2 linked regions of the Coturnix japonica genome follow. The protein of the gene in region 1 binds, or shares a complex with, the protein of each later gene. Links are inferred from orthologs where the notes say so. Each region holds a gene or a part of one and is shown on either strand. Other genes may lie near its edges.

Region 1 (6,239 bases):
AGACCTCCATGTGCTACTGAACGCCAGCCTGAAAATAAAAGCCTGACCCCACAATGTGCCACACTGGGATAAATGGGAGGGCAAAGGGTTGAGGTGCACAGGGTCCCCCTGTGGATGCTGGAGGGGAGGTGCCAAGGATGCGGGGATAGAGGTGCATTGGGAACCCCCATCCCAGCCACCCCAGTGGATGCTGGGGGGCATCTCCCATCCCCAAAGCACACCCAGGGGAAGGGGGAGGCAATGGGGAGGGAAGGGGGGGGAATGGGGGCGGCCCCATGCCAGCACCCTGTCACCACCCACTCCTTTCTCACAGCTCTGCCCCAAGCACTCACATCCCATGGACTCAGCGCCACCTACCGGGGTTGTTCCATATGCTTTTAGAGCACCCATGGGTGCTGGAGGTGGGGGGAGAGGGGATATGGGGCTGGGGGTGTCACCTCTGGGTACCCTAACCCTAACCACTGCAGGTCTGTCCCATCGCTGGGGTCACTAAAGATTTGGGCACTGAGCTCCCAACTCACACCCAGGGCACATGAATGGGGTGTGATCAGGAAGGATCTGGGGCCTTTCGGTCCTTTTATTGCAAAAAGCAACCAGAAAAGAAAAAAGACAATGTATAAAACGTGAAGAGGTGGCGCAGCAAGCAGAGCTGCGTGAGCCCACAATGGGGCTGTGAGGCTGGGGGAGCTCCTTGGGATATGGGGGCACCTGAGCAGCCCCCAGGGATTCTGAGGAACCAAGGGGGGGGAAGGAGGGGAGATGAGCACCCCTAGGGGTCTGGGGACCAATGGGGGGGTGAGGGGTACAGTAGGGAAGTGAGTGCAGCACTGGGACCCCCAGCTCCGTGTTACTCAGCCTCTACAGGGATGGGGTTCACCTGCCCCCCCACTTCTGCTGCCTGTTTCCTGCGTGCATCAGCAGGGGGTCGGGGTGGGGGGTTGCTGGGGGGCTGTTTGATGGTGTCCCCCATGTGCGGCCGCTCGCGGGGCTTCTGCTCAATGGGTCGCCATTCCTCCCCACGCACCGCTGCCTGCAGGGCCAGGGGGGAGCAGTCAGCAGGGAGCCCCCTCCTTCAGCCCCATAATCAGCCCCCATTACCCCCCCAGAGGAGCTCACCAGCAGGTAGATGCCACTGGCAATGCCCAAACAGACGGTGCCCAGGATGGTGGAGAGCAGGAAGCCAGCAGGGACGGCCAGCCTGAGGGTACAGGGGAAGGTTAAAAGGGGGGGGGGTTCAGGTTCACCCCCCAGCCCCAACCCCACTCACGCTGCGTGCAGGATGGCACGGATGTAATAGTTCCGGGTGAGCGGTCCAAACACCTTCAGCACTGCTGTCATGTACTTCTGGCCACTATGGGGCAATATGCAGAGTCAGGGGGGCACCCGGCCCCAAAAGACCCCCCCCCTAAATATATATAGGCACCCCAATAGCACCCCATCACTCACCAGCGCTCCATGGTGGAGCCCTTCTGCCTCTTGCTGCGTGGGTATTCCAACAGGCAGACGAAGGCGCCTGCAGCACTGCAGGGGGATGGGGGTCAAGGAAAAGGGGGGTTTGGAGCCAAGGGTGGGGGTGAGACCCCACAGGGAATGGGGCAGAAATGGGGCCAGGGTTGGGGGGCAGCTCCATAGGGAAAGGGGCAGGAATAGAGCGATGTGGGGCCACAGAGAGGGAGATGAGGGACCCCCCCCCCCCCCTCCCCGCCTGCACAGAATAAGGTGCCCCCTCCCACCCCGAGCCCCATAAGGATACATGGCGTAAGCTGCGAAGTACCAGCCCTTGAACTGCCCCGCCACCGCCACGATCCCTCCGGTCAGCATGACTGCGGGACAGCGGGGACACTGCTGGCATCCCGGCTATTAACAGCGGGGGATGCTTCGCGTGGGACCCCCACGAGCCCAAACAGGGAACGGGGCGGGGGGTTGGGGGTTAAACCCTATAGCGGCCGGGCTGGGGGGCAGCGGGGGGGAGACCCACGGTGACACACGATGTTGGTGATACGCTCCGGCAGCGCTTCCGCGTCCTCATCGCCGCTCACTTCCTCCATCTCCGGGCGGGGTTGGGCCAAAACGGGATGGGGGGGTCGGGGGGGAACACAGCCAGGGGTCTCTCCCCATATCCCGTATCTATAGCCTCACATTCTCAACCCTACACCCCCAGCCCTGAACTCCCTTCCCCATATCCTCACCCCCATCCCTGCATCCCCATCCCACATGGGACCCTTTGACCCTCCCCCCATCACCCAGCCCCTTTAACTCCCCATCTCCCCCCCGCACTCACTCAGCCCCGCCGCCAGCGCCTGTTCGTTGGCCCACATGGCCCATTCGATCTGCCCCATGGTTCGAGCTCAGCCTTAGTTCGGGCTCGGCCCAACCCGACCCGGAAGGCAGCGATGGAGCCGAACAGCCGAACCCCTTCCCCTCCTTAAGCGACGCCCCTTCGAGTAACCCACGCCCATTCATTACAAAGACACGCCCCCACGAAGAGCCGGGCCGTAGGGGGACACGGGGTGATACGGGAATATATAGGGTGACATGGGAATATATAGGGTGACATGGGAATATATAGGGTGACATGGGGCAGGAGCAGCCCTAATGGGGACCACGGAGCGACTCGGGACTCAGAGCAGCACTGCGGCTGGAAAACCTCTATTATTTGATTAGAAAAGAGTAAAAACCAGGCAATGGGAGGAGCCACATCTGGGTCGGGATGGGGACAGATGAGCACAGCATCTCACAGCCCCAATGCAGGCAATGGGACGGTGGGTCCCTGCCTGTGTGCCCCCCAGGGGCAGCCCCCATTGGGCATCCCTGCTGTCCCCAATGGTGTCCCCATCACGGTGTCCCCATCACGGTGTCCCCTGTTCTCAGGCAGAGTGGCATGGCAGCCCATCGGGGCCCAGTAGATGCTGGCTGGGGGCATCCAGGAGCTGTGGGCCAGGGCCAGGCTGTGGGGACAGGAGATGTGTTAGGGGACAGCACGGAGCAGGAGGCTCAGGACCACCCCCACCTCCCATACCTTGGTGTGTAGGATGTAACGAATGGCCCCTGGTACCGGATCCATCACCACGGCTGACAGCAGCTCCTCTGGCAGCACCGCTGTGCCAACGGGTCGGCCTCGAAGGAACCTGCAGCAGGGATGGCACCCAGATGTCCCCAACCCCACCCCATGTCCCATGGTTCCATCCCCATCCCCATCCCACCAGTCCCCGTCCACATCTCCATCCCTATCGCCATCCCACCAGTGCCTATAGCCATCATCTCCATCCCCATTCCCACCCAAATGTCCCCATCCCCATTCCCACCCCCCCAGTCCCAAATGACAACACCCTTACTGGTCCCCATTGGAGCTGGGTGGGAAGCTGCGCCTCACCACCTCCACAAACTCATCCACTGTATCCTCCAGCATGAAGACGACCGCATTGGGGCCAGCATCGAAGGTATAGGCCACCTGGGGACAGGGACACAGTGAGAGGGGTGCAGTGCCAGCAGGACGGGGCCATAGGGGGGGGGCTGCCCTACCTTGGTGCACCCATGGTGGGCATTGAAGCGATGCACCAGGGCGATGATGCGCCGCGAGATGTCATTGAGGTAGAAGATGGGGGGGAAGGTGTCGAGGCAGGTGGCGTGGAACTGGTTGCTGTCCTGCATGGTCAGCTGGCCAAAGGTCTCAAAGTCTCGATCCTGGATGCAGCGAGCCATGCGGGTCATGCGCTCCGGCACCACCACCTCAGCACGGTACTATAGGGGCAGCACCAGGGGGGGGTCATCTCATGGATCCCATAGGATTCACTTCCCATGGCCCCTCAGTACTCAGCCATTGGAGGAGGTGGCCATGATCCCCAAACCCAACCCATCCCACCATGCTCACACCCCGACACCTCCCCACCTCCCCATGCAGCCTGTGCTGCTCATCACCAACCATCCAACCCACCTTCAGCAGGGGGCTGGTGTCCACACTGGTCTGCATCCCCGCCGTGCTGCCCACCGCCTTCTTCTCCCCGCTGACCTACACCAGAACACAAGACATGGGGCACCCTACAAGGCGTCCACCTCCCACCCCCAGCATCAACCCCATCCCTCACCACCAGCACGAGGACACTCAGCTCCGGCCAGTGTGTCTCAGGTGCCAGCTGCTGTGCCACGCTGTCTCTACCATCCGGCCTCTCCCCACGGTTCCATTGTACGAAGCCCCCCAACATACTGCGACACGCGCTGCCCGACCCACGCCGTGCCACCTCCGACAGCTCCCCCTCCACACCATAGAGCCGTGCCAGCACCGACACTGCAGGGATAACAGCGTTATGGTCACAGCGTCCCCATCACCCCCCACCCCATTGCTGCCCCCCATACCCACCCAGGCAGGCGTAGCCAGCAGCTGAGGATGCCAACCCAGCAGCGGTGGGGAAGTTGTTCTCGGAGGCGACGTGCACTTTGTAGGACAGGCTGAGCGGGGCTGCAGCGTCGTCACCGCGTCTCTTACGGGCCAAGCGCCGCACTGTGCAGGGATGGGGTTATAGGGAAGCAAAGGACACGGCTCTGTGCCCCCCCAGCCCCCAGCCCAGCTCACCCTCCCTCAGACAGGCCTGCAGCCGGGGCTGTGCCGCATCCACCTCCTCTCCATTCAGCCACAGCCGGTCCTCGGTGAAGTCACGGCAGGCAGCAGCCGTGGTTGTGGTCCTCAGCTGTATGGGATGGCACTGAGCTCATGGGGGGGGGCACACAGCCCTGAGGGTGGGGATATGGGATCCCCAGGGTTTGAGGTGGGCACCAACCTGGTCCTGGTGCAGCGTGACGCTGAGAGAGGAGTTGATGGGCAGGATGAGCTCGGTGTCACGCTTCCCCCCTGCAACAGATGGGAGAGGTGAAGCAATGCTTGGCATGGCACGGTGCCACTGTGCTCAGTGCCACTTGGCATGGCATGGCATGGTACCACTTAGTATGGCATGGCATGGCACAGCATAGCATGGCATGGCATGGCACAACATGGTATGGCATGGCATGGACCCACTTAGTATGGCATGGCATGGCATGGCATAGCATGGCATGGCACTGCTTGCTGCCCATCAGCACTGCCTGGCACAGCACAGCACTGCTTGGGATGGGCATAGCACAGCATAGCACAGCATGGCACTGCCTGGCATGGCTCTACATGGCATGGCATAGCAAAACCCAACCCAACCCAGCCCAACTCAACTCAACTCAACCCAACTCAACCCGATCCAACCCGACCCAACCCGCCCCGTCCCGTCCCGTTACTCACAGTACTTGATGACGGCGATGTTAACGGGTGCTGTACATGTCACCCGCTCCATGTCCCGCTCCGTGCCTCGCTCCGCCGCCATGTTTACGCACCCAGCCGCCACTACGCCCCGCCCACCCGCTCGCGCGTGTGAGCCCAGCCATCCTATTGGCTAGCGACACAGCGGCCGGAGCCGGATGACCAATAGGAGGCATCGTACCACGGGATGGCCCCGCCCCATCCCACCCATTGATAAAAAAGAGTGTGTGAAGGGGGCGGGGCCAACGTGGTGCCATGTGGGCAGTGCGCATGCGCGGGGTGGGCTGTGCTTGGCGTCTGTGCCCCTATTTGGGGCTCCCAGTGCCCCCAGTAACCCCAATAACCCCATTACACACACTGTGCCATTGCTCCCAGTATCCACAGTGCTCCCAGTACCTGCTACCCAGCAGCAGGAGCCCCTACTGCCCCTCTGGGAGCCAAGATCCAACCCCCCCCCCCCCCCCCCCCCCCCCCCCACTCCAGTGTCCCCTCAATGGGGCCACCCCAGTCTCTAAGTGCCCCCCCCCATTGATTCCTATGTATCCCCATGGCCCATAGGAAATCACACGGCTATTATGGGATGTGGGATTCCTTCCCTGCTGCAGGGGCAGCTGGGGACCCCATTGAGCCCAACAGCACATGGGGAGGGGGGGCTTGGCATCCCCACTGCTGACACCCCCCCATATAGACCCCAGCACAGCCAGGGCTCATAGCACTGTGCTTGGGTTACAGCTGAGCTCAGTACAACCCAATATCCCCAATACAACCCAATATCCCCCATACAACCCAATATCCCAATACAACCCAATATCCCCCATACAACCCAACATCCCCCATACAACCCAATATCCCCAATACAACCCAATATCCCCAATACAACCCAATATCCCAATACAACCCAATATCCCTGCTCTTCTTTATAGGGCTTCCCACCCTAAAGCAGCCAGGGGTAGCAGAG
Region 2 (5,939 bases), on another chromosome or scaffold:
ATTTATGTGCCCTGTGGAGATCCACTGGGAACAAACCAGCTGTGGATGTACCTGTGCAGCCTTAACAGCTGGAAGCAAGCAGGCGGTTTCTGAGCTGTTTTTGTTCTTAGGGCTCTGACTGGTATCTTTTTAGAGCTCTAATTTGGCTACAAAACACAGCATGTTTGCTGGTTGTGCAATCTTGTTTTGCCCTTGTTTTCCTCTTCATTGTGAGGATTGTTAGAGGGAAAATAAACAGCAACTGTTGCTTGTGCTTGTGGAAGATGCAGAGCAGTAGGAACGTGTGCTGGGATAACAAGGGCAGGAGCTGCTGCTGACTGACACTTGTGGAGAGCACTGCTAGGAGTTATTTTTAGCAGCTTTTGTTTTCACTCTGAAAAAGCAGCTGTTCAGTGGTATGAAATCTCAAGTGATCTCGTGTAACGCTGGGGGAAGTTCTGTGCTTTGGAATGATGATTATTGGGTGACAGAGAAACGGTCAGCTTCCTGCTCTTCTGGAGCTGGTTTTCATTGTAAAACTATTGTAAGAAAAGAGTCTGTCTGGAATTGTGCTCGCCTTGAGGCCTTGCTGGCTAAAGCTGTGCTGCCTGATCTGATAACTTGTCAAGAGGAAGGAAGGGGGGTGATGGGCTCCTTACTGAGTGCAGGGTGAGGTTCCGAGCACCTCTGCTCTCCAGTGCCACCTATGGAGAGTGCAGCGACTCCAAGTGTAGGAACTTCTGCTATTGCACTTCTACACATTGGGTAGTACTGGAAATGCTGAGCGGTATATTGGGGAGATGGGTGTCACAGCGAGAAAAGCAGCTCACCTGGAAAAGTGGCATATATCTAAACCTCTGCTGTAGCAAAAACATGGCAATTCTGTCCAAGGACAGTGCTGGTGATGTCCCATCTGCTGCTTGATGTGAATGGAGACCTGAGCCATGCAGCACGCCTGGGGTGGAGCTGGTTCATGCAGCTGAGAGAGGAAGGATGTTGTCAGAGGCTTTCAGAAGGCTGCCACCTGTTTGCAGATATCAACATTTCTGGAATTAAACAGCAATTACTTCAGCTGGCCTCCGCCTCCATTCCTGTGGCTGCAAACAGCAACTAAATTCGTGCAGTTGGGTTTTAGTCGTGGGAGAGGAGGAGAGTGCAGCATCTGTGCAGCTCTGGTGCCTGCAGGATGGAGGAAATGCTGGCACACATTGTCTGATGGCGTTCAGAGCGAGTCACATACGTGTCTGCCAGCAGCAGGAACATGGGGAGCTCTGCAGAACCGCTTAGTGTAAGAAAGGGATGGCGTGCCTTGTTTCCAGGAACAACATATGTGGCTTTACAAAGACTGGTTCCTAGAAGGTGTCAGAAAGCAATTCACTGCAACTCATTAAAATGCTGAATTTCTGTTGGCCATGTTTTTAATTGCAGTCAAATGTTACCAGTTTCATTTGATGCAATGGTGGGTGGACAGAGCTGTGATTAAGCAGTTGCTCGAAATTTTGTTATGACTAAGTTTGGTTTGGAAGTATCTCAGAGTCTACGTCTTTATGTGCAAGGATTTATACTTCGCAAAACAAGTGCAGTTCTAAGTTCCTTATCACAGAAGTTGGTCAGCTTAGAGAAAAGCTGTAAGTACTCAGAGGTTGTGCTTCATTGCAAAGATAGGTATTGAAGTTCATTTTGAGGATTGGTAACTGTAATACCCGATTTGTGGGGCAGTGAGCCAGAAGGCAAGGGAAGCAGGAAGCCTGGAACGGAGCAGGCCTGAAACAGGGTTGTTGAACGTGTTTTTTCTTGTTCAAGTGGCTGCCTGATTGTGCTGCAGATACATGCTGCAGGCAGGCGCTTCTCAGCATGGAATGAAACCTGTCACCACCTCCCTGTGCTGTTCTATTAGCCAGAGCAGACTCACCGGTTTCAGAGCAGGGTGAGCAAAGAAACTTGAGCGCTGAGACAGGTTCCTGGGCCTCTGCTGAAAATGTGGAGTTCCATATGAATTTGTTATAAGCTTTTGTTGTCTGTAATGAACCCACTGGAAAGCGAAGCATCAGACCAGCCAGGTTCTGGAAGCACATGAGCACGTAGCTCTGAGCCTCAGGAAGTTTCCTAGGGAATGTGCTCCTTGCTGCTTCCAGTGTTTGAGGGTTTTCACGTTTGTCCTTGGTCGGTAGGACTGGCAGAGCCTGCTTTATAGCTCGCTGACAGCAGTCAGCAGCACACGGTGGCTGATGAAGCATCCCAAGGATGTGAGCAGCAGGTTGTCCTTGGGGGAATGTGGAGCTTTCCCTCCGCATAGTGGCTTGTTAGCAGTCAGCCCAGTGCCCCTGCAATGGGGACAGCACGGGATCTCCTCTGCTGGCAGCTGTTAAGCCAGCTTAGCTGCATGGCACGCAGCTCCCAGATTTCTCCCACAGAAGTTTTTGCGTGATAAATCTCTGTGCTGCTCTGTACATGAGTGTGTCAAGCGTGTTGCGACAGGAAAACATCTGCAGGTCGTAGTTTGCTCGAGCAGAGGAAAATTCTGGTGTTCAGTTCTGCCAGCTCGGTTCAGGAGGGTGTATGCTGGAAGAAAAAGAAGAAAATCAGATTGTTTCCTTAGAGCATGTGTGCAAAGCAGGGCAGGAAACTGCCACCGTGTGCTGTGATTAGTGGGACATTCTGCTCAGGAACAAAAGTGCAATTAATAGGCACGGAGGCTAAAAATCTGTGGCAATGCTGTGCACAGTGAAGCAACTCCTCTTTCATGGCTTGAATGTGTGTGGTGCTGTTGTCAGGGGTTGCCATGGCCCTCCTGGGTTAAGTGGCACTGAGCTGTTCCTGGGTTCAGCTATGGTAGAGGTACTTAACATCCCTCGAACTGTGAGTCACTAGGTAGGGCTGATGGGCTAACATTGAGTGTTAAGTGATTTTAAATAGCATTTTGAAGCTGATCTTAGGTGTATGAAGTAGCAGTCCAAGGTTCTCCAGAAAGAAAAGAAATGCTATGATTCAAATGTAAAACAGTTGCTAAAATTCAGATAGGAACGCCTCAGTTGTTTGCAGCAGGAGAGCTATGAGCCCATGACTAATGCTCATTTCTGAGAGTTGTCTTTGTCTTCTGCAAAAGCGAAAGGATTACAGTGTATTTTTAGCAGTAGCATTTGGTTTCTGGTAATATTTCCTTTGCTGTTAATACTAGCTGTGGTTTTAGACTAAAGCTTTCATGAGTTCCTTCAGTTTGTGATAGACTTGAATCAGGAGGCTTGAGAGTCCAAGCTGCTGCTAACAGCAAGGTTTGTCTGTATGTACAGCAAGATTAGGAAGTTCCTACTGGCTTGACTTAAGTGTGAGAAAGTGATTTGTGAGGCGGTGCCAGTCAACTTGTGCAGGAGTGTGTCTGAGAAGGGCAGTGGGGTGGGCTGTGGGGCGGTTTGGGTGCTGTCTTCATTGTTGGAATGCAGTTTATCTGTAAGGCAGCCAGTGAAGTGCTTGGTGAATGCATGCCGGGAGTCACTTTGCAGTAGCAATAATCATGGTGAGCACTGCCATTTGTATTGTTCTCACTTCAGCAAAAATAATGATATGCTGAGAAATGATGTGGTTTCAAGCTTTCTTCAAACTTATGTAAAATAAAACTAAGGGTAACAGAATGGATGTTTATATTAGCTGTGTTTCCACACTAGCAGTAACCTTAAGGCTACAGCCTCTTACTTGTTTTTGTGTGTAATATTTTCTACTGGCACTCTCAATTGTTCCTTAGGTGACTGGGTGTAATTAGTTTTCTTCCCTAAGAGGAATATTATTGCTTGCTATTTGAGATGAATGTTCTTTACATGTAAACTTTCTCTTTTTTGCAGTGCTGTAGGTAAAACATGCCTACTCATCAGTTACACAACCAATGCGTTTCCTGGGGAATATATACCCACAGTGTAAGTACTTACAACATTCTAAAAACATTCCTGTCAACCCACTGGTGCTTCCTGCTGGTCCAGCTTCCTCACTGAGCCTCCTGAATTGTGGGCACACACCACTCAGTGCCATCATAACATCTGGCCAAGCATCTGTGTGTGCTGCACAGAAGTGCAGTGTTATAGCTTTCCTAGTTATGACTCTGCAGGAAGAAATACTTAGGTGCCCAATTTGACTACAATCAAATGCAGCTAACTTTTATTTTTTAGCTTTGACAACTACTCTGCTAATGTAATGGTTGATGGCAAACCAGTCAATCTGGGCCTGTGGGATACAGCTGGTCAAGAGGACTATGACAGACTACGCCCACTCTCCTACCCCCAAACAGTAAGTACTGGTGTGGAACTGAAGAAGGTAGACAGCTCTAAGCTGTTCTGGAGATATTACATCTGGAGCTGTATTTCTTACTGTAATAAGGTACTTGTTGCATGTAGGCTGAAGGATGGTAGCTTGCTGTAGCAAGAATCTTTGATGTGCATACAGCTATATAGATGTTCAAATTTACACCCTTGGGTGTTTGCGAGCATTGATGCATGTTGGTTTTATGTAGTTGCAGTCTCAGAATTAACAAGAATTAATGATTAAAAGAGGAAATTAAAAGAGGGGGGGAGGAGGGAACAACAAAACCTGAGTAGAGTAGTCCCATCAGTGAGTCCATTGATACTAAAGTTAGCATGGCTGCCAAAAGTGGGGTTTGTTTTGTTTTCAGGCACGATGCTTGGCCGCAGCCTGACACTGTCACTGCTAAGCACTTGATGTTGTTTAGCCTCTGTGCAGATGTACTAAATATGAAAGAGGCAATCCTGAATGAAGATCTTAGTGGTATTGACAGAGGCTGGGTTGTGGTTTTCAAATCTACTTAACCCCATGGCTGCTTTCTTACTTACTGCAGTTCCTGCTATAACATCCATACAAACGTGTTTCTGTTTGCAGTGCTTGCAACTGGTTAAGTCCTGGCTGCACACTGCTCTTCCTTTTACAAAGAAAATGCTGAAGTAATCTACTCTTTCTTTCCAGTGGGACTTCAGCTGCATTTGGTCTTTGCAGAGGTTGGCTTAGAGCAGTCATGTTCAGCTGGTGCTGGCATCCTTTCATTAAAGAAAAGCAGTGACTTGCAGGTGCTGTCAGCATTGATTACTGCTGTTGTCAGCTGTTGTTGACAGTTAGTAATTCAGGGTTAATAATATTAAGTGCAGATTTGTTCTAATTATTCTGCAGCATAACTGCTCTCCTGAATAACGAGGATCTTATTAAATAAACTCTGTAATTCTTTTTTTAGTAAGCTTGTATTAATTCACAGTTTTCCGTAATTCACTGCTCACTAACTCATAAATTAGGCTTTCCTTTGACCCCAAGATGGATGTCAACCTGTCAGCTGTAGGCACTTCTGACTGAAATATCAGAGCTGTCTGCCTTTGCTCAGCAGAGAATAACTGGAAATTTTGGCTCAAACTTCAATATATTTTGGACACTTAACAGAACTTCAGGTTTACTTAAAACCTACAATAGAAAGGTAATGCAGGGTAAAAAAGAAATTGGGTCTTAAAATAAATTTTCCCACACTGAATAGTGTGGAAAAGCTGATGGCAAAGGAAGATGTTCCTCCCCAGTGCACGTGCGTGTTGTCAGCCCGTTGAAATAGCTGTGGCTTTCTAACAGTCTGCAAAAGAATTCTGTGTCAATCTAAACATTCTTTGTGGAAATCTCTTCTGTATGCGCACGTCCAACTGATAAGCAAAGGCCTGCAATGCTGTCACTACTCAGCTTGCACGATTTCTTACAGCAAAAAGTGGAAAGATAGGGCACTACATCTTGAACTTCTTGTGGGGCAGTCCTCAGCTGTGCAGTAAGGCAACATTGAGCAGCTCTTCGAGGCCAAAACCCACAAGACACTCATTTAAAACAAACAAGCAACAGAGCTGGCTAACCTTGCTTCTTCTCAAGAAAAGAAACCAAAAGGCAATTAAGAAGATTTTTTTGGTCTGGTGCTTATTCTTCCAAGCACATTTGAC

The links.
Region 2: cytochrome b-245 light chain (region 1) and RAC1 share a complex: the UniProt entries of both Homo sapiens proteins name them as parts of the phagocyte NADPH oxidase complex. The link is inferred for Coturnix japonica from reciprocal best matches to the Homo sapiens genes CYBA and RAC1.

Annotation. Positions count from the first base shown.
Region 1 is NC_029526.1:16,406,214-16,412,452, forward strand, and holds cytochrome b-245 light chain, read right to left. Parts: upstream 2,595-6,239; 5' UTR 2,578-2,594; coding exon 2,282-2,577; intron 1,824-2,281; coding exon of another isoform or gene 1,754-1,823; intron 1,522-1,753; coding exon 1,447-1,521; intron 1,352-1,446; coding exon 1,268-1,351; intron 1,199-1,267; coding exon 1,117-1,198; intron 1,031-1,116; coding exon 848-1,030; 3' UTR 553-847; downstream 1-552. Other genes in the region: MVD (diphosphomevalonate decarboxylase), read right to left, coding at 2,868-2,948, 3,020-3,128, 3,336-3,451, 3,523-3,741, 3,935-4,009, 4,086-4,285, 4,358-4,498, 4,571-4,685 and 2 more. UniProt on the Homo sapiens protein: Subunit of NADPH oxidase complexes that is required for the NADPH oxidase activity that generates, in various cell types, superoxide from molecular oxygen utilizing NADPH as an electron donor.
Region 2 is NC_029529.1:8,458,127-8,464,065, reverse strand, and holds part of RAC1 (ras-related C3 botulinum toxin substrate 1), read left to right. Parts: intron 1-3,815; coding exon 3,816-3,887; intron 3,888-4,136; coding exon 4,137-4,254; intron 4,255-5,939. UniProt on the Homo sapiens protein: Plasma membrane-associated small GTPase which cycles between active GTP-bound and inactive GDP-bound states.